Linked DNA regions of Notamacropus eugenii. The protein of the gene in region 1 interacts with the protein of each later gene in a biochemical or structural test. Links are inferred from orthologs where the notes say so. Each region holds a gene or a part of one and is shown in the gene's direction. Other genes may lie near its edges. The genes, in order: MBL2 and CALR.

What was found.
Region 2: the proteins of MBL2 (region 1) and CALR form a complex in vitro, tested with the Homo sapiens proteins (2 studies listed by BioGRID and IntAct). The link is inferred for Notamacropus eugenii from reciprocal best matches to the Homo sapiens genes MBL2 and CALR.

The regions. Positions count from the first base shown.
Region 1 is NC_092872.1:227,505,473-227,516,735, reverse strand, and holds the start of MBL2 (mannose-binding protein C), read left to right. Parts: upstream 1-6,390; 5' UTR 6,391-6,496; intron 6,497-6,639; exon of another isoform or gene 6,640-6,866; intron 6,867-7,500; 5' UTR 7,501-7,509; coding exon 7,510-7,690; intron 7,691-9,705; coding exon 9,706-9,822; intron 9,823-11,263. UniProt on the Homo sapiens protein: Calcium-dependent lectin involved in innate immune defense. Binds mannose, fucose and N-acetylglucosamine on different microorganisms and activates the lectin complement pathway.
Region 2 is NC_092875.1:77,930,633-77,941,582, reverse strand, and holds CALR (calreticulin), read left to right. Parts: upstream 1-6,344; 5' UTR 6,345-6,512; coding exon 6,513-6,600; intron 6,601-7,643; coding exon 7,644-7,745; intron 7,746-8,035; coding exon 8,036-8,239; intron 8,240-8,465; coding exon 8,466-8,560; intron 8,561-8,647; coding exon 8,648-8,857; intron 8,858-9,002; coding exon 9,003-9,116; intron 9,117-9,219; coding exon 9,220-9,363; intron 9,364-9,453; coding exon 9,454-9,546; intron 9,547-9,737; coding exon 9,738-9,929; 3' UTR 9,930-10,582; downstream 10,583-10,950. Other genes in the region: FARSA (phenylalanine--tRNA ligase alpha subunit), read right to left, coding at 1-124, 1,268-1,414. UniProt on the Homo sapiens protein: Calcium-binding chaperone that promotes folding, oligomeric assembly and quality control in the endoplasmic reticulum (ER) via the calreticulin/calnexin cycle.

The DNA.
Region 1 (11,263 bases):
TGGTATACTTAGAGAATCAATCAGAACAAGACTTGAAATAACTAAATTAAGCAAAGTTGCAGGATAGAAAATAAACCCACATAAATCATCAGCATTTCTATATGTTACCAACAAAGTCCAGCAGCAAGAGACAGAAAGAGAAAATACATTTAAAATAACTGTAAACAACATAAAATACTTGGGAGTCTACCCATCAAAACCAGCCCAGGAACTATATGAACACAATTACAAAATACTTTCACACTGTTGACCTGAAAACTTGGTTAAAGAAAAGGCAACAGGCTAAATGCATACATTTTATGATTTAATTAATTAATTAATCAATTCCCTATTAAAGACAACGGTAACATAATGCATTATGGAGCCAGAAATGTTCTGGCTACCGACACAAAGAACTGGGCAGCCTTAAGTATGTTTTAGGACAAAGAAGTGTTCTGTGTCCCTTAGATTTATGATCTCCATAAGTGACTAACTAGACCATTAGAAAGGAATTTCTTAATTGCATAGGCTGTAAATACAATAAGATAACAGAGTTTGACAAAGTTTCACATAGAAATTACGACCCAAGATGTCTGTGTTTTCTTTACCATTAACATGCCATAACATAGTATATGTCTACAAATATTAAAATATGGAAAATGTCCCATTATTCAAGATAGTGTCTTAGGTTAAAGATCTCTTGAGGAATGTTAAGTCAGCCCTGGCAGGCTTTTGTTGACATAGGAAGCGGCATTCTCTGAGTTTGCTTCAGAGAGAACAAAGAGATTATTCCAAAATTTTATATTAAACATTATCAGCACAAATAAAGTCAAATCTAAGCATTTTTTTTTCAATTGAGGAAGTATGAGAGAGATGGGGATTAAGGATGGGATAGTTAAAAAAGAAAAAAAGAGTGCCACTGAAGATTTTTAAGTGCATAGAAGAGAAGAGAACAGAATGAAGGCCCAGAAAGAATTATAGATAAGAAGGAAAACTTTAAAAGTCACATGCTGAATGTGTGAACATATGCATGTCTATATATGTGTGACATACACGTATATAGACATGCATACATGTATATGCTTGTTTATGTATATTTAAAGCAAATTCTACATAAAAAAATCTTCTTTTCCAGTTCAATACGTATATGGAAATGCCCATTCTATTTGTTAAGTTTATAATAAAAATAAATTTTAAGTGATAAGTTTGATCATTTTCGTTTCTGTGATAAATTCAAAGGTCCAAGGCTGGAAGTTAAAAGGGTATGAGAGGAGATAATGGTTGGTTCACGTCATACTAAACATCCTAAAAAGAGGATCCCACTTTGATCCTAGCCTTTGCTTTCATAGTCATGATCTAGCTAGTGTGGTTATGTAAGAGGGAAAGGTAAGCTTTTCCAACTATATAACTTTCCTGAAATCCAGGATCTTTCATAGAGAAAGACTCCTCATGGCACAAAGGACCAAAAAGTCTAAAAAGATACTCGATGGCTGCCTATTTTGGAAAATTATGACTGATGGAGGAAGAGAAACTTACATTCCTATAGAAGCAAAGGACACCTGTCTCTTACCCAAGGCATCCTGATCAAGAACTTGTAGAAATGTTTGCTGACTATCTATTGATCAGTGACCTTTCATTCCCTGTGCCTTCTTTCTTTCCCAGAAAATAGGCTATTTGGATAGCATGGAAACAGGCTTTTACTGTGCATTTTCTCAGCCTTCCTTGCTTCCTTCCTTCCTTTTCCTCTCTAGCTAGGTAGTACAATAGATAGAATACCAAACCTGGAATCAGGAACACCTGAGTTGAAATCTGGCCTCAGACACTTAGAAACTGTGTGACTTTGGGAAAGTCACTTAACATCTCTCTGCCTCAGATTCTTCCTCTGTATAATGGGGGTAATAATATCACCTACTTCATAGATTGTTGTGAGAGTCAGATTTAATAATATTTTAAAATGATTAGCACAGTGCCTATAATAATCCCATTCTAGGTCGAATTTAGCTCATACCATAGTGACTCCTGCCCATAGTGTCCTCTACTGCAGAGCATTATTAACATTGGACAGATTTAGTAAGATTCGGGCTATGACTAAGCTCAAGAGAGAATCAGATTTGGCTTCAGCATCAAATAGAACTGATTTCAAGTTGTACTGCTAATAAATATTGGCTGTGGAGAGGTGATGAATTCAAGGCAGAGATCAAAGTATATAAATGTATGTATGGGTATATGTATTTATATATGTTTATGCATGTATGTATGTGTATACACACATACACATATGTGTGTATACACACATATATATCTTTTTAGAATGATCAGTGGAGGAAATTCTTTCACTATTGTATTTGCTAGAAGGATTTTATTCTGTTGGAGTTGTCTTTTAATGAGGAGGAGGAAGGTAGAATGGAGAAAAATGTATTTTTGTAAATTGAAAAGATAAAATTTAATTTTAAAAATATACAACAAACTATCTGTATGATACTGAGTAGTTCAAATCTCAAATTTTTAATACTATTAGTTGCATGGAAAATACCTATCTGCAGTTATAGAGGGAATGCCTCACCAGGATCTCCCTACACAGTTCTGGTGGGGAAAAAAAACACAGGATGAAACTGTTGTAGAGGAGAACCATCGATACACCTGTATGCAACAAATCCAAGAGCCTCTTGGGAGACCACCAGAGGGAGCACTTGACTTGAAGGAGAGATGAGAGAAACAGGACTTATTTTTTTATTTTGTTGCTCAGTTAAGAGCCTTTCAATTAAAGAAACCATAGAATGCTGTTATAGATATAAAAATGTATAGGATGGAGAAGAGGAAGGGAGGAAAGAATGTCTTATCTTTAAAGGTCAACTTCTTTCTGGTATTGAAATACAATCAGTTTTAAGTTCTTCCTATAGAGAAGAAGTTAAACTTCTTATGAAAGGTTGCTCAATGAAATATGGACATATATGAATCAATGAGTAAAAAGTCATTTATTTAGCACTTACTATGTGCCAAGCACAATGCAATGTGCTGGAAATACAAAAATGGAATGTGAAGACCTTTAAGGTTCTTATAATCTAATGAAGGAGGCAACACACAAAGAGTAGTGAACAGAGAGGAATGCTTTGGTCCAGAAATTTTTAAGGATGATGAATAGACTGAGGTCACAGGGGAATAAATCGGCACATCCAACACAAGAACACTAGAACAGTTGATATGATCATGTTTAATAGTTACACATCTTTGAGGGAGGAGGGGAGAAAGAAAAGGAAAACTGTAGGGAAGGACAGAAGGAGGGAAGGTAGCAGGCAAGTCTATGGAGGAGACAGAGTTGGGAGTGAATTAAAGAATGGCTGGTGCTTTTCCTGAACTAGTGGTCCAGGAGGGGAAGAAGAAAGAAAAAGATAACCATAGTCTGAAAGAATGATGGTATCTGAATTCCCCAAAGCAGGCTACCACTTTCCTTCCTCAGCTCTATAGGGAACACAGTTCCTTTGGTCATGTATGTAGGTTTTAAAGAGAGACCATGTAGAGTTCAACCCCTTTATTTAATAATGAAGAAATTGAGACTCAGTGATGTTAAGTGATTTACCCAGGGTCACACAAATAATAAATAGCAGAGGTAAGTTTTGAACCAAAGTCATTTGACTTCAGTCTTTGAAAGATCCCAAAGTGTCTATAGTCATATGAAAACATACTTTAAGCCACTACTGACTGGAGAAATACAAATTAAAACAATTCTGAGGTACTACCTCATATCTATTAGATTGACTATCAGGACAGAAAAGGTAAATGACAAATGTTGGAGGGACATTAATGTATTGTTGGTGGAGTTGTGACCTGATTCAAATATTTCATAGAGCAATTTGGAAATATGCCCAAAGGGCTATAAAACCATGCATACCCTTTGACCTAGCAATACCACTACTAGGTCTGTAGATCAAAAAAGATTTTAAAAACAGGGAAAATCACCTATATGCACACAATATTCATGGCACCTCTCTTCTGGGACTAAAGAATTAAAAGTCAAGAAAAAGCCCATCAGTTGGGGAATGCCTGAACAAGTTGTAGTAGGTGATTACAATGGAATACTTTTGTACTATAAGAAATGATAACCAGGATGCTCTCTGAAAAATCTGGAAAGACTTGCATGAGTTGATGCAAAGTAAAATGCATGGTGTACAAAGTAATAGCAATATTGTAAGATAATCAGCTGTGAATGACTTAGCTATTCTCAGAATACAGCAATCCAGGACAACTCTGAAGGACTGATGATGAAAAATGCTATCCATCCCCAGAGAAAGAACTGATAATGTCTGAATACAGATTGAAGTATACTTTTTAACTTTATTTTTCTTGAGTTTTTTGTGTATGTTTTCTTTCACAACGTGACTATTATGGATATGTTTTGCCTATATTCGATTGCTTGCCTTTTCTATGAGTGGGAAAGGAAGGGAAAGAATTTGGAACTCAAAGTTTTTTTAAAAGTTGTAAAACAAAAGTTTTAAACTCATAGTTTTAAAAACAAATGTTAAAAAAATTTGATGCAACTGGGGAAAAATAAAATAATAAATAAAAGCTAAATATATGTGTGTGTGGTATAATGAAAGATGATCGTATCCCAGAATTTGAATGGGGTTTTTAGACCAAAGCTTAACAAATAGGAATGAGAGGCTTCAGGCCAGACATACACCTAACAAGAACTCACTCGATTTGGCTAGGGTATTGAGAGTCTATTCAAAGGAGAGAGGTATTCCACCTGTGATCTCATTGGTATAGGGAACTCCCAGGTGATGAAATTCCTTCTATCAGTGCAGGTCAGCACCTTATTTGTAATTTAGGGTCTTGGAGAATTGCTTAGAGTCCATGCTCTAGTTAAGTGACTTGTCCAGAGTCGCATAGCCAGTTATGTATCAGAGGCCGGATTTGATTTTGGGTCTGCTTGACTTTGAGGCTAGTTCTCTGTCCACTATACCATGTTACTTCTTTTAAGTCTAATCTAAAGGGCTGTAAACTGAAAAGAGGGAAATAAAAACTGGTTGATATTCACCAGTGTAGATACTGTAGAAAATAGCTACCTCATAAGAAGAAAAGAGGCAGTCAAAACACCTAGAAGTTTAGAAGTCAAAATCCAAGAAAAGATCCTGTCCTAAAAGTCACAGTTCACGTTATGTATAACAATAAGCTCCAAAGGGTTATATGACTTAAAATATGAATATAAAAGGTTATATTGTAAACCAGAGAAGAAAGAGGAAAGAAATATATACCTTTCAAAACCATGAATAGAAGGAAGAATTCTTAATTAAACAAGGATTAGAGGTGATCATAAAAGATTAAAAATAGACATTTGTTGTTCCTTAAAACTGAGAACTTGCACCAAAAAAAGTTTTGATTATTCAAGTTAGAATTATTAAGGAAACAGCTCACTGGGTGGAATCTTTGGAGCAAATTTCTCAAAAAAAGTTGTCTTGTTTTATTTTGATGGGCTATACTTACTGTTTACAAGAAAGGGCTTTGGTAGTACATAGAGAAGTGGGGCGGTGGGGGCAGTGATAAAAAATATAAGAAAAGAAAGAAAAGTCCATCAATGAAGCCCTAAAAATAAACATAGAAGAGAGAAAGATACATAGGTTAATAGGGATAATAGCTTAATAGCAGGAAGTTTTGTTGTTATTGTGTTAAATTTAATATATACTTTGAAAACATACGTAACAGTTCACAGTTTCCTACACCATCCTCTTTTTTGTTCTTTGTACATAGAAATGTTCATGTTCCTTTATGGTTTGTTAAATTCACAATTTAACATTAACAACCTAGGGTTGGAGCCCCCAGGTTTGGGCATAGCATTTTCTCTTTTTTGCACTAAGGGACCCCTATGGACCTGTGCACATGGTCCAAACAGCATCAGCCTTGGAAAACCCTGCCTCTAATGAGAGAAGTTAGAATCCCATTTCTCATACTCTTTGGTTCATTTTGTACCCCACTCTAGCATTTAAAGTTTTTAGTTTTGGCTCAGATTCATCTCATCTAGGGTCTCCCCAAAGGTGGAAATAGGAATCAGGTATGGGATAGTTATTTATTTGTTACACAAAAAAGACTGTCATGTGGAAGCTTAGACTGATCCCAGAGAGAAGAGTTAGGAAAAGTTTACTAATAGTATGTTACTAAAAAATGCAATGGACTGTCTTGGGCAATAAAGGACTTCCCTTCATTGAAGGTCTTCATGAAAAGCTAACTAACCACTTTTCAAGTATGTTGTTGAGGGAACTCATTTTTAGGTATGTGTTGCAGGCTCTGAAATTCTGTCTCTGTGATTCTGTCTCAATCTGTCATTATCCATTGGGAGCAATGAGAATAACAGCTGGATATTTGATTCAGTTGCTTATTAATCTGTGGAAGCAAAACAAGGACAGACCTCTACCATGTAAACAGAGTGATTCTTTATATCTTGTTGAATCCAGCCTCTTCCCGTCTTCTCTGGGTTAAACTAGAGGACACTCTGTTCTGTTATCTCTTTCCTGTTGTATGTCAGGTAAGTTTCTGATCAGAAATACAGCCTGTGGAACTGGGGTCAAAGATCTGTATGTTTAACTTGATTCCAGGAAAGGGACTTTCCAATAGATTTTCAGGCAATGTTTCAATCAACTAGAGTTATGATTAAAGGTCTTTCTATTTTGATATTCCTCATCTCCTTTTAGGTCCCTTGGTTCCTTTGGAAGTATGGCATTCTTTAGAAATAGGCCAGATCTGGTTCAGGCAAAATAAAAAGGGACATAGAATTATTTGGTCTCCTACTGAAGGGTTAGCAACTTTCCCACCCTCACCCTGTGGACTTCCTGGCAAGGACAAACAAGATTTACAAAACTTTTTGCAGGTTTGAACCATAGGTGGGAATGAACAAAGTAAGAAAAAGGGAGAAGAGATGGAAAGGAAGAAAGGAAGGGAGGGATGGAGGGAGGAAGGGAGGGAAGGAAGGAAGGGAGGGAGGAAGGGAGGAAGAGAGGGACAGAGGAAGGGAAGGAGAGAGGGAAGGATTTTGTATATCAAGATTTTTAAAATTTTATTTTATTATTAATTTTGTATGTCCAGTCCTGTGCTAGGCACTATAGAGGATCCTAGGAAATAGAGGGCATGTAGAAGAAAGCAGTCAGACTAATCTGGGCAGTGAGGGTAATGAGTATACATCATATGGGTTGGAAAGGCAAGAGATGTGTCTGTCTTTAATGGAGAGTTCTCATTCAGACAGAATGGGAAAGAAGTCAGGATAATTAGGGTGGGGACTCCCTTGTATAATGATTTCCAAATCAGTTTGGATTGATTAATCTTGAAGACAATGGGGAGTCAATAAAACACAATAAAACAAGAGACTGACAGGATCCAAAGCAGTGAAACTGGCTGTTTTGGAGGGAAAAGAGACAGCTGGTGGCAGCACCACCAGGAGGAGACAATAGCAAGAAGGATAAGAGTGAGGCTGGTTGAAAATCCCTGCCATTTTTCTTTCTAAATCAATTGACCTCAAGTTTCTACCCTTCCAAGGTTTGAAGAATGATTGACTTTTCCTGGTTCCCACTCCTCCTCATCATCATGGCTGTCTACTCAGAGCCAATTTTGAGTGAGACGACCGAGCAGACCTGCTGCTCCGTGGTCTCTTGTGGTACCCCTGGGGCAAATGGGGCTCCTGGAAAAGATGGAAGAGATGGGCTCAAGGGAGAAAAAGGAGAACCAGGTACATGCTAATTGGGATCCTTCTCCCTGAGTCTTCATTTCCACCAGGTGATCCCATGTGATGGTTGCCTCTTCTAAGAGTTCAGACTCAACATATGAGGTCATATTTATCAGTGATGTTGAATTGTTTCTCTAGATTCAATCTCTGTCCAAAAACTTTTCCTCTAACAAGAGAGTGAGATGATCAGAGAAGTTCTATTTATCTAGCTCTGGTAATCTGACACCCCAGTTTCCAAGAAGTCAAAGGAAGGATTATGTTGGCGCTTTATCAAAATAGGCAGTATATGGGGCCATTTTCAAAAGCTGTCTCTTGAGAATCTCTCAGTCCACCCCACTTTGGGGAAACCCATGGAATACTGCTTGCTTAGTTTGATTTAAAGTAAACACTAAATACTGGGAAGAAAGTCTGGGAACTCTTTCATGAGATCACCTGTTTGTTTTATATCCTCCTAAGGTGTCCACATATAGATCACAGTGAAATATTTTTTGCTCATTTCACTCCATTTTGCACAGAAGCAGAGGACTATGAGTTCAGGGACTGCATACCCATCTGTATAAGTGGTTTTGCTTACAGTGGTATACTCATTAATTGGGTAATTACATTTCCTGGCATATGATGTCTTAAGACTTTTATGTCTTTCAAAAATATTTAATGTGTAAGATGTCCTCCATTTCTTGTGAGTCTTTGTTACATGTAATTTAGCATTGAGTTCATCTGTATAATCTTGAATTCTTAATTCATGAAAACATACTTATGAATTAGATATAAATTGTAAAATAATCATTTTTTTTAAATCTAGCCTCGATTATAGCCTACAGATTCTTGCTAGGTCTTAAATTAAACAAGTTCTTGGGAACTGAAGCATATTTCTCTCCAGTTTCTGAATAAATTTCTTAGCTTTTCATGACCTGTGGCATGACACAAGTTTGCATTGCTATTGAGGAATTCCTGTAATATCAAAGCAATTCTATTTGCTAGTATGTCAATAGAATTATCAGAGTTTATTATTTTCTTCAGTTGGGACAAAACTTCTAGGCTTACTGAATGTAAAATAATCCCTCAAGTATTTTTGGAAGTGAATGTTTTACAGTCTGATGAAGATGGCCAGATCTTGCAAGCTTATCTGGACTTCTGAAAATGATTTGGAATTAAAAGACCTTGAATGAAAAAATAAGTTCATTAGTAAAAAATTAACATTTTCTAATCTTTAGTACATTAGTCTTTATATGGTTTTGCTCATGAAAAGCATTTTTTACTGACAGTAAGAGTTAGCAACTGATTTTCACTGTTCTTCCAACTTTAAAAAAAGTCTACACCATACTATAGAAAGATTGAAAACAATCCTTTTAGTCAAGAGATTCCTACAAAGCTTTTTACTTATTTTCTGAGGAATAATCAAGTTATTTTACAGCAACATTTTGTCAGCTGTTAGCATTATTTTTCATTTGGACTTCACTACCATTTGTGCTTTGTTGAGACTGCTCTTATTTCTTGTGGATTTGAAAAATGCTTGAAATGCATGACTTTCCCATACCCCTGTCATCAATACTTTTAATAGTTATTGAAGTGTGATCCTTGACAGCTACACTTTTTACAAGTTTCCATGAAGGAATAGCCCTTCTTTAAAAATTCTACAGAATTAAAAACACAAGAGAATAATGAAAGATGTATGTCCCAGATCCACTATTCAGCTAACAAAAATCAAAGTGGAGAAATCAGCTTACCTTGTGTCCATTTGGTCAAGGTAAAACTTAGTCTGGTGTCATTAGAAGCACACACATATGATTATTTCTGTCACAAAATAGAATCATTTTTTAAAAGGCTTTGCTTGTCCCACGTAATTGGAACCACAACTTTCTTTGTTTCAAGAAAGGGATCTTGGTAGGTAATAGGGAGGTTGAATGGGTATATATGGGAAAGACCACATATAAAACAAAAACTAACAATAAAATTCAGTTTTTCAAATATTTTTAAAACACTGAATACAAAGATAAGTTTTTATTGCCTAATAATAGGTCAAGGACTCAGAGGTATCCAGGGTCCTCCAGGGAAAATGGGACCTCCAGGGCACCCAGGGCCACAAGGATTTCCAGGACCAGCAGGCATGAAAGGAGATACAGGAGACAGCTCAGGTAAGGCTCTATCTTCTTTGTACTGGCCCTAGCCAGGAGGAGGCCATTTAGGGATTTAGGGCTCAGATCCAGTAAGCAGATGATCCCTCTTCCAAATATCCTATTAGCAGTACAGTCCAATGTCCCCTTCTATTGGTAAAGCCTCCTCTATGACCCAACACTTTTCCCCTTTCCTACCCCTGTTTCATTGCAGAAGAAACTGTGTGTGTATAACACCGCATATAGTATTAGACTTTTTAAAATACAGTGTTTAATTTGGCTGACCTTTTTTCCCTTTTTCTGCATTTTATTTATTATTCTACGCTACAAGTGATGCTTCTTTGGGAAAGACAGGCAGGAGGGATACATTAGAAAATGTAAGAAATTTTAAAACAAAAGTTATCCATAAAAAAATTTTTAAAGATCAGAGTCCAAAGTAGGTCTCAGTTTTCAGCAGTTATAGAAATATCCTACACAAGCATACACACATGCATATACATCAATGCATGTACATATTCTTCCTAACACATTTTTCATGATTTAGCTGGACATCCTGTCTCAGCTTTCATCTGGAAATAGAGTTGAGTAATTATTCCTGAAAACAATCAAATAGCAGATGATTGGAGGGGTTGATCCCATTCAAGTAATTTTCCTGTAGCTGTTGGGGTATCAAGGAGCCAGACAGTGAACTGAACTTTAAGACAATTCAGGCAATGGGAAATATTCAGGAATCAGTGATTTAATAGAAAACAAACTAAACCTGTCAATAGGAACAGGAAGGGAGAGAGAATCCTCAACCTTTCTTAGTAAAATTGACCAAGGTCATCACAAATTTTCCCCCAAATCATAGAATCTTTGAGGTGGAAGGAACTCAGAGGTCATCTAATGTATCCCAGTGTAATGCCTTGGACATAGTAACGTGTATTAAACACTAGCTCAGGACTTTAGTACCTTTCACTGCTCTATTGAGATAAGCTCTTAGTTGGTCATCCTGCTGCAAGTCTCCCCTCATTCCAATCTGTCCTCCACACAGCTGCCAAAGGCATTTTCCTAAAGTGAAGGTCTCACCATGAACTCCTCTCCTCAATAAACTCCATCAACTCTCTGTTACCTTTAGAATCAAATGTAAAATTCTGTTTGACTTTCAAAGACTTTCGCAAAGACCTAATCCAATCTACCTTTCTAACCTTATTACACATTATTTCCCTTCCATGCAGTCAAATCGACCCTTTCACTGCTCCTCACGTACGACATTCCCTTTTCTCTCTCTATGCCTTTGCATTGGCTATATCCCGTGCCTGGAGGTTTTTTGCCACTTCACTGCTACCACTAAGAATTCTTCTACTTCAAAATCTACTCAAGTGGTCCCTTTCATTTGAAACCTTTCCTGATTCCCCTTAGCTGCTGGTATCTCCTCTCAAATATACATATACCTATTTACTTTGTATACGTTTTAGATATC
Region 2 (10,950 bases), on another chromosome or scaffold:
GCACCAGACCCTCAGGAGGGAGGCTGTGGAAGACTCTAGCCTCATGGCTGCCATCCTGGGCTGTCTCTTGGCCCTCAGGTGTAAGCTCCCATCGCTGGGCAGAACGGAGTTCAGTTTCAATGACCTAGACCCAGAAAAAATATGGTTGTCAGGTCCAAGTCTTCCTGCTTAGGTCCATTTCCTCAGTCTTTGCATTCTGCATCTTCTATCCCAGGTCACCTCCTCCTGCCCCATTTCCAGGACAAAACTACTGCTCTCCATACCCCACCTCCCAGTCTTCTCCTTTCCCTGCCTTCCCCAATACACACACTTCTCCTACACTCAGGCACAGCTCCTGCAGTCCCATCCCTGGCTCTCCTCCCCTAAGAGCAGCCCCTCCTCCTGCCCCATCCCTGGCCCTCACCCCTAAGTGCAGCCCCTCCTCCTGCCCCATCCCTGGCCCTCACCCCTAAGTGCAGCCCCTCCTCCTGCCCCATCCCTGGCCCTCACCCCTAAGTGCAGCCCCTCCTCCTGCCCCATCCCTGGCCCTCACCCCTAAGTGCAGCCCCTCCTCCTGCCCCATCCCTGGCCCTCACCCCTAAGTGCAGCCCCTCCTCCTGCCCCATCCCTGGCCCTCCACCCCTAAGTGCAGCCCCTCCTCCTGCCCCATCCCTGGCCCTCACCCCTAAGTGCAGCCCCTCCTCCTGCCCCATCCCTGGCCCTCACCCCTAAGTGCAGCCCCTCCTCCTGCCCCATCCCTGGCCCTCACCCCTAAGTGCAGCCCCTCCTCCTGCCCCATCCCTGGCCCTCCACCCCTAAGTGCAGCCCCTCCTCCTGCCCCATCCCTGGCCCTCACCCCTAAGTGCAGCCCCTCCTCCTGCCCCATCCCTGGCCCTCCACCCCTAAGTGCAGCCCCTCCTTCTTCCCCATCCCTGGCCCTCACCCCTAAGTGCAGCCCCTCCTCCTGCCCCATCCCTGGCCCTCCACCCCTAAGTGCAGCCCCTCCTTCTTCCCCATCCCTGGCCCTCACCCCTAAGTGCAGCCCCTCCTCCTGCCCCATCCCTGGCCCTCCACCCCTAAGTGCAGCCCCTCCTCCTGCCCCATCCCTGGCCCTCACCCCTAAGTGCAGCCCCTCCTCCTGCCCCGTCCCTGGCCCTCCACCCCTAAGTACATCCCCTCTTCCTGCCCCATCCCCGGCTCCATGCCCAGGACGCGGCTGCTCCTTCTGCCTGGTCCCCTGCCCGGTTGCATCAGCCGACCCAAACTGGCAGACTCCGCACCGCCTTACCTCCCCCAGCGCCTGCAGGCTTTTGACAGCGCCCACCACGACCTGGTGCTCCAAGCCCAGAGCGCTCGCCAGCTCCAGGCTGTCCAGGCCGCCATCGCCGCACTCCAGCCGCTGCAAAAGCAACTGAGCAACGGACCCGTCAGCCATGTCTGCGCCGTGAGGATGAGGAGAAACGCACCGGAACCGGAAGCGCGGCCGCCCGGAAGAGCGGGGCCCGCCACCTTGGGTGTGGCGTGAGCCAAGTCTTCGGCACGGGCCGCCATCTTGGGTGAGGCAGATGCGCTAAAGCTGGGCTAGGACGAAGAAGGGGAAAGGAGTAGGGCAGGGTCGGAGGGGCGGCGGAGTCAGAGTGGAAGACCCGCCGAGAGGGGACGGGCAGCCCTTCCTCGCTGGGCCCCAGCCCCGACTTCCTGGGTCGTGCCGAGCCCCACGGCCGCCAAAGCCCTCGCTGACCTTCTCCAACCTGGGACCCTACAGGGTAACTCACGAATTCCCAGGCCAAGGAGCCGGCGCCTCTGGGCCAGGAGAAGGCAGGGGTGACTGCCAGGGCCTCACAGCTAGGGCGGGCCTGACCCGGACCGCACCGCGGGCCCGGGCCCCGACCCCGGCCCCGGCCCCCAGGCCCCGCTCAGAATAGGCCGGCAGAGAGCCTCACCTAGGCCTGGGCCTGTGCAAGCCCCCGGAACCCCAGGGCAGCGGCGATGCCACAAAAAAAACCAAGCCGGGCCTGGCCCGGGGCAGGCGGGGGGCCTGACACCTATGGCCGCCTAGCTTGCCTCCCTCCGTGTGACCTCTGAATGCCCAGGGGCCCTAAGGTCCTCTCCCGCTCCCCATACCTTCAATAAAATAATCCCTTTCCTACCCTCGTCCCAAAGTCCTTGTGCTTTGTAAACTTTGAAACGCTACAGAAATGAGGATGGTTGTTTTCATGGAATTTCTCTGAATTCTGATGCTTTGAGGGATTTTTGTTACAACCGGGACAGTTCTAGCTTTGGGGATATGTGCATTGGAAATTAGACTTTAGTAAAGAATTTTGAAAGAAACTGATTGAGCTGCTAGCTGTAAAGATGGCAAAAGAAGAAAGGGAGGCTTTGGAACCCAAGGCTGAATGAACCAAAAAAGAGTGCCATGAAATGGTTTGCATCATTTGAGTGATTTTTTTCCCCCGTATTGAAACGAGGGATCCAATTACTCCGAGATTTTTAAAAGTTCAAAGACTAGTTGAGGATGGTATGGCTTGCCATCATCCCATGTAGAGCACTGTCTAAACATCTCTTGATAGTTTCATTAAAAAAGTTGCTCAAACTTTTGGTTAACTTGATTGAATAGTACTGTGCATATTTTATCATTAATGTTCCCTTTCATTTTATAATTCTGTTTATTATCATGGTATAATGTCTAATATATCAGCATTTTAGTATAACATCTAATATATCTGCATTTTAGTATAGTTTGTGACATGTAAAGCATTATTTTGCATATACCTAACTGAATTGGGTAGGTAGGGACAAATTGACATTATATAAAAATCGATTTACATAAGAAGTCTGTCAAAGAGTCCACTTATCTAAAGCAAGAACTGTCTGTACTGACTACCTACTGTGTGCCTGGACCTGTGTTTGGTACCTGGTGGGTTAAGGGGAGGAGAGAATTATGGCTGTTAAGGCATTTTGAAGTTTCTGAAATACTTTTCCACTATGATCACTAAGCTGGAAGGGGCCTCGGAGGCCATGGAATCCGACCCTCTTGTTTTATAGATGAAAAACTAAGGTCTTTGTAATTTCACTTAAAAACCATATTAGTGATGTTGGGTTAGCAGGATTCAAAGGTTATTTATGGTCAGGGCCTTGCACATTGTATGCATTTGTATAATTTGTGTTGAATTGAGTTGAATTTGAAGGATGGGGAAATAGCCACAGAGAGAAAGGAGTCAATTGACAAGGTCTTACAGCATAGCTAAGACCAGAACTGAGTTTTGCTCATGCTCAAACTTGGCTCTTTTTATTATAAACACCCCCTTTCCATTTCTCCCCCATATTGTTGGGGAGACAGGACCTATACTCATAGAGAGTTAACAAGACCTTCTAGTCCTTATTATCTTAATATTTACAATCATAACAACTTACATTTCTATAATACTTTAAGTCTGCCATGCACTTTTCCTTAGAACAACTCTGGGATGTAGTTAGTGCAGTTATTAACATCTGGATGAGGAATGCTCAGTTTATGACCAGTAAGGAACTAGAGACCCAGACTAAAGATGACTAAACAAAAATAGCATAGGTAGAGCTAGTATTAGAGCTCTGCTCCTCTGACAACACTGCCTTTGGGTGGACTCAACTTGAGTCTCTGGGAAGGTCTAATAAGAGTTCTCATACCTCTTGCTTTGAAGCTCCACCAGGGCCTTCTAGGTCCTTGGGTGTGGCCTTTTGACTGAGTCCAAGTTTTACAGAACAAATCCTTTTATTAAGGGAATTTGTTTTGTGAAGTTTGGATTCAGTCAAAGTGCCCCACCTGAGGACCTAGAGGGTCACATGTGACCTTGAGGTGGAAGGTTCCCCATCCCTGCTCCACTCATCCTCTCACACCTACCCTGTGGAACCAGCCAGTCATGTTAGAATACAGTTGGAAGGAAGAGGCCCTCAGGCCCTGGAGCTATCCCTCCCCCAACCTAGTGACCTTTTTGGTTTTTTTGCTTTTATCTAAAAGATCCTGCCACTCACTAGTCCAAACCACTGTTTTCTCTTTTCCTTATCTTTAAGAACTCGATTCAGTTCTCCTCACCTAGTCCTGGTCAGGAACTGACTCTTGGACTTACCTGATCATCTGTTCTTTCTTGTCCCATGGCCACTCTTCCTCTTGAACTAATGAGTTTTTTCCCCAAATTGTTCCCTCTCTTATAGTTTACTGTAAATTATTGTAATTTATCCTGGCACAACCTCTTGATGTTGAGTGTGAATTTCTCCGCCTCACCTCGAAGCTTCCAACCCCAGACTGAATTCTCAGAGGCAGCATGGTACAGTAGAACACTACATTTGGATTCAGAAAACTTAGCTAGATAACAAATCCTGGACCTGTTACCTGTGTAACATTGGACAGTTCATTTGTCCTTGTCAGCCTTAGTTTCCTCATTTATAAAATGGATAAATTGAACTAAGGTGCCTTCCAACATTAAATCCTAAAAAAACTGGAGTACCATCCTGAATGCTTTAACCCAGGAGAGCACACTGTCACTGTCGTATTGTCTGAGGCTGAGCTCAGAAGTCTGATTGCCAGCCTTAAGTTCTGACAAACCTCCAAGAGACTATATGTCTTAGAGGAACAGGTATGGCTGGCACTGGGCCTCTTTTCTTCTTCCTATTTACTGGATGTAGGGATTGTTTCATTCTTCCTGATTCCCCAGTGCCTACCAAGCTGTAGACAATTAATAAATATTGATTGGTTGATTCCTGAGGGCTCAGCTCTGAACTTGAGGAAAGGAATTATAGCTGTTGCCAGAAGGGGTCCCTTATGACAGTTGAGTCTCTTTCATTCCCCTCCCAGACCTTATCTTGCCAACACACTCTGCCACTTTTTCCTTCTCTGGCTCCCCAGCCCCCAACTCAACCAGGCCAATCCGTTTGGGTTACAAAACCTCAGCAGTTTGTACAGTTTGGGTACAAAACCACAGTGCCCATTTGCCCCTATCCCCTCAAGTACAAAGGCTGGTTGCATAAGGATAGAGGAGCCACACAGAGGATTCCTCGGTTAGCCCCGAGGCAGGCTTCTGGTAGCTGAAGAAGGAGCCAAGACCTAAAAGTGTTACTACATCAAAACTTGGAGAAAGCGGCTCAAATTACAATGAGATGATCACTACTCAAAAATATTGTGGAGAGTATTGTTCAGATATGTATTGGATTAGGTCACCTCTGAACTCTAATCCTACTCTAGGAGTCTGTGACAGCAGCTAATCCGAACCTTCATTTTACATATGAGGAAATTAAGTTCCAAAGAGGACAGGGAGTTGCCCAAGGTCACAAGGCTCTAAGTACACCTGGGATAGAACTAGCATGGTCATAGAGTCAGGGATTTTCCAATCCAGACAATTTTTGTTTCAATTTCACCTTGTTACTTTCTGTGTGGTGGTCTTGAAACAAGTGCTTTGCTTCCTGTATATATTTCCTTATACGAAAAATGAGATTCCTTCCATTTGAACTGAGGTCATCTGACTCTGTCTGAAATTCTATGCACCCTACTAAGTTTTGTCCTGTCCTGCCACAGTCACATTAGACAATCACTCCTCAGACTCTTCCCAAGAATCAATCTTCACACTGAGAGCCTGGTGTAAATTCTAGTTAAACCTGAGTCTGAAAGCCAAATGACAGGACCGAGGTCACCCAGGTGGGGCTTGACCTCATACTTCTGAGCAGCACCCTTGTGGTCAGTTATGGTGGTTCTGTCCCTTTGTCCACCCAGGATCTGACCTGGCACCGTTTACGCTTGTGGGTGGATGAAACCTTTGGGGCTTGCAGCAGGGCTGGGGACGGTGCTTCCAGCTTGGGAGGTTGAGATAGGACCCCAAGGGTCATGTGGATGCTGCTACAGGGAAGGTCCCTGGGGAAGTACTGCTGGCCAGCGGGGTTGAAGACTGAGGCTGGGACCCCACGGGGGAGGCGGGGGAAAGGGGGGGTCCTGGCACAAGGAGGGCATCTTTCCTGAGCCGAAGGATTGCTGGAAGCTCCGGAGAGGGGCCTGGGGTTGGGGGAGTCGGGAGTTATCCACTTCTCTTAGGCCCCGACCTTTAAGAAACGGTGAATAAGGGGAGTAAACTGCAGACAGGAGATTTGGGGGGAAAGGGTGGGAAGAGTCTGGCCAGCTTATCACGTGATTCGAACCGGGTCCCTGCTTCCCTCCCCCTTCTGGAAGTGCTGTAGGCGTCCCCCCCACAACGCGTGGTCGTTCCTCATTGGCTCGTGGCTACGGCCAATAGAAAGCGGCCATCTGGGAACCCAGCGTTCCGAGGTGCAGCCTAAAGTGCTGCGCCGGCTCGGGGCCAATCGGGAGGGGCCTTGCGGGTCCCGCAGCCAATGGACATGCTGAGGGGGCGGGAACACGGGCTGGGCGGTGTTGGTTTGAGGGGGGCCGGGTATAAAGGCGGTCGGTGGTCGGCGGCGGCTGTCCCTACTGCAGAGCCGGAGTAGTGCTGTCGTCTGCGGATTCTGTGTCCGTACCCGATCCCCGCCGCCCCTACCTGACCCTTCCCGTCATGCTGCCTCTCCTGCTTCTGGGCCTGCTAGGCCTGGCGGAGGCCGCTGAGCCTGTGGTCTATTTCAAGGAGCAGTTCCTCGACGGAGGTAAACGAGGGGCGCCCGGGCCTGCGGTCCCGCCCCGTCCGGGGCTCCCCGGGCCCTCCCGAGCGCCTAGCCCGCCTAGAGTGCCTCCTGCTGGGGTGGGGGGACGTTGGAGGGGCCGCGCGCACCCGCTCCAGCCGCTGCTGTCCCGGGGGGAGGGGAGGGGGTCGTGCCCGGGTCCCTCTTGTCATCCTAGCGGCGTGGGAGGCGCTACGGCCGCCGGGAGTCCGCTCCCCTTGGGACAGCGCTGCCTCCCCGGTGTGGTGGCTACAGCCCTCCCCGGGGGCCCCTCTTCCTCCATTAGCCTCAAGGGTGTCCAACATTGGGTCCCCGGGACCTTTGTCCCTCCTGCAGCCGACCACGGGCTTGCCCTCTCCCTCGACCCTTTCCCCAGCCTGTTCTAAGCCTGATACTTGGGGGTGGGGGAGGGGAAATGAGGGGCAGAGAGGGTCCACTGGGCAGAGACCCCCGGGGCCCGGTCTGAAGCTTGGAACCTTTCACCCTCTCTTTGCTTCTGATATCGTCAGTGCCCCCGGAAACCTGGGGTGGAGGTGAGGGGGCGGGGTTGGTTCCTGGAGAGTTAAAACATGCCCTTATGAATGCATAAAGCGAGGTGCCAGGCAAATCACTTAATTTCTGAGTCTTTGCTTTCATTCACTGTAAAATGAAGAGGCTGGACCAGAAGGCCCCCGGGTGGCATTTCAGCCCTAAATCCTGCCTCCGTGCTTTGCTGACCTTGTATAAACCCTTTTCTTTTTTGGGAGAGGGTCAATTTCCCCATTCACAAAACGAAAGGGTTTAGATTGGGTGTCCTTTAAAAGGTCCTTTTCCATCTCGAACATTTTGGTAGCCCGAGACTGTGTTGTTTAGTTGGAGATGGTTTCTGGAGGGGCCTTTCCTTAGCAGCTGGTACCTAGAATGAGTGAGTCCCTTGGAAAGCTAGGTTTTGATGGACAGGGATAGAAAGATGATCACAGACTCTTCTCACATGTTGTACTTCCCCAGTGTTGGGGAACATGAGGACACTAACCCCCTTCTCTCCTCAGAGGGTTGGGAAGATCGTTGGGTGGAATCCAAGCACAAGAGTGACTATGGCAAGTTTAGGCTCTCGTCCGGGAAGTTCTACGGTGATGAAGAGAAGGACAAAGGTGAGGGGCTGCCTCCTGCCAGAGATGTGATATTGGAGAAGTACTTTTCATTTAGGCCTCGATTTCCTCATCCATAAAGAGGGAAAGGGTTAGGTTTAAATCTCCCTACCAACTCTGAAATTTCCTCTGATTCCATTGAGGCTGTATCCATGCAAGGGGGTTGGTCAGGATTGAATTGGACCTGGGACAGAAGACTCAGTGTGAGTGGCTGCTGGTAGGGAAGAACCGTGAGTGATGAGGCAGGATACCCCTTACTTACCTTGGGGACAACTTTCTCACCATGCCTGTAGGGCTGCAGACAAGCCAGGATGCCCGCTTCTATGCTCTGTCCTCACGCATGGAGCCCTTCAGCAACAAGGGCCAGACGCTGGTGGTGCAGTTCACTGTGAAACATGAGCAGAACATTGACTGTGGTGGTGGTTATGTGAAGCTGTTCCCTGCTAGCCTAGACCAGGCTAGCATGCATGGAGACTCAGAGTACAACATCATGTTTGGTAAGTGTCCATAGGACTGGCTGTTGTCCCTTCCTTCTGTGGTTCTGGGAGTCCCTAAAATGAGAGTCTGAGATTGACCATCTCATCAGTGGGAAACTAAGGATTGAGGAAGGAAGGTGACTTGACCCTAGGGTCCTTCCTTCCCACTTGCCCTTCATAGTGGCTTTGGGGAACTGGGAGACAGGAGTCCTGGATTCTTTGATCAGTTTCCCCATTCCTTCTTCAGGCCCTGACATATGCGGCCCAGGAACCAAGAAGGTTCATGTTATCTTTAACTACAAAGGCAAGAACATGCTGATCAATAAGGACATTCGATGCAAGGTAAACTACCTAACAGATGGTGAGGCAGAGGGAAGGGTCCAAGACCTGTGAGACCTTGGTTCCTTCATAACTGTTGTCCTCCCATAGGATGATGAGTTCACCCACCTGTACACCCTGATTGTTCGGCCAGACAACACATATGAAGTGAAGATAGACAATGTTCAAGTAGAATCAGGCTCGATGGAAGATGACTGGGACTTCCTGCCTCCGAAGAAAATCAAAGATCCTGAGGCCAAGAAGCCTGAGGACTGGGATGAGCGAGCCAAGATTGATGACCCCACAGACACAAAGCCAGATGTAGGTTGCTTGCATTTGGGAATTCTTCATGGCTAATCCCTGTCCAGTGACCATCCATCCTTTCCCATTCCCCTTTCCCCCAACCCCCCAACTGGGAGAAAAAGGGTTTCTAGAGGTCTGATTACATTTACTTATTGATCCCAAGGACTGGGAGAAACCTGAACACATTCCTGACCCTGATGCTCAGAAGCCTGAGGACTGGGATGAAGAGATGGATGGGGAGTGGGAGCCACCAGTGATCCAGAACCCTGAGTACAAGGTGAGGCTTCCCAGCCAGTTGCCAGATGGGGTCTGGGGAGTATGAGGACAATGGGATGGCAGCCCATGTTTGACCTTTCCAATTTTCCCAATCTCCTCTCTAGGGTGAATGGAAGCCCCGACAGATTGACAATCCTGACTACAAGGGCAAGTGGTTGCATCCTGAAATTGACAATCCTGAGTACACACCTGACCCCAACCTTTACGCATATGACAGCTTTGGTGTGTTGGGCCTGGACCTGTGGCAGGTGAGGAGAATGGTACTCTGCTTTGCACTCTGCAGGGGGTAAAGTGGAGAGTCCTGGCCCCACCTCTCTCACCTTTTTCTCTGTTTGTAGGTGAAATCTGGTACCATCTTTGATAACTTCCTTGTCACCAATGATGAGTCCTATGCAGAAGAGTTTGGTGAAGAGACCTGGGGGGCCACAAAGGTAACTCCTCCTTCCTTGCAAGGGGTGAGGAAAGACCAGGATTCCTGGGAGGACCCTGTCTCCTAGAGGGGGCCCTTTTCCTGGCCTCCTACTCCAGCCCATCCCTCCTTTCAGATACCAGAGTCTGGGGGTCAGGGATGGGCCTGGGGTGGGAGAACAGGCTCTGAGGTGGGGGTGTGTGCATCTGGCAGGAGGCTGAGAAGAAGATGAAGGAACAGCAGGATGAGGCAGAACGGCAGCGTGAGGAGGAAGAGGAAAAGAAGCTGAAGGAGGAAGAAGAGGCCGGAGAGGACAAAGATGAGGAGGACAGGGAGGATGAAGAAGAGGACGAGAAGGACGATGAGGAAGATGAGGATGGTGCCCAGCCCAAGGATGAGCTGTAGGGGCCAGGACTGAGGCTGGAAGCACCCTGGGGGGCCAGGCCAGGAGCCAACTAATGTCTCTATGAGACTGGAGAACTGTTTCCAATAGGTGGGGTTGTTTGGGGCTGGGTGGGTTTTTGTTTTTGTTGTTTTTTAAACTGGTGTCGGTTTCATCCACTCTCCCTCAGGTCCCTCTGCCCTCAAGAGCCTCTTGGGAATGGCAGATAGTGGGGGGCACCCTTCAGCCATGGGCTCAGGGGCATGGGGATCCAAGGTGTCACTCTGCATGGATGCTCAGCCTCCCTGTTGACTACCCAGGGATAGAGACTTCCGATACTAAGCTGCCTCCTTTCCCCAACTGGCCTCAAGTCCTGGCTCCTCTGTTTTTACCCCATCCTCAGGAGCCAGAGAGGAGGAGGAGGGGGGTCAGTCAGCCTGGCCCTGCCCTTAGGTATCCCATAGCACTGAGGGGGGCTAGGGTTTGGCCAACAGTGCCTAAGCCAAACTCTTTGCTCCCTTTTTTCCCCTCTGCCTGGGCTGAGGGCAGGGGTGGGGGCAGAGCCCCTGTTGTGGGGGGGAGGGTTAGGGAGGGGTTGTCAGTTCTTGCTTGGTCACATTGAGAATGTAAGAACAACAAAAAAAGAAATTTCTATTAAATTAAGTTTTGTGTCTCCCTCATGTGTTTGATTTCTTGGAGAGGGGAGCAGTGTAAGCTTCTCAGTTTTCTGAACTGCTGCCCAGCCCTAAGCTAGTGGGGTGGAACAGATAGATCCCTGGGGTTCTGGTCAGTGTGAAGTGTCTGTCTAGTGGCTGCTCTGGCCAGAGAAGATGGCCTCTGTGCCTCTGGTCAGCTTCTTTTCCCCACCTGTGCTGTAGGGCTCAGAGTTCCAAACAACAGGAGAGATCCTGGTCCATGGCCTCTCTCCAGGAGCCAAAAGACTGGATTATGAAGGAAAGCTTTTTGGGAGGACCTGTTAACAGTAACTATTCAGTTTTGAGTTTATAAGTAAGATTTAACGTAATAATAACACTGTCAGAACCT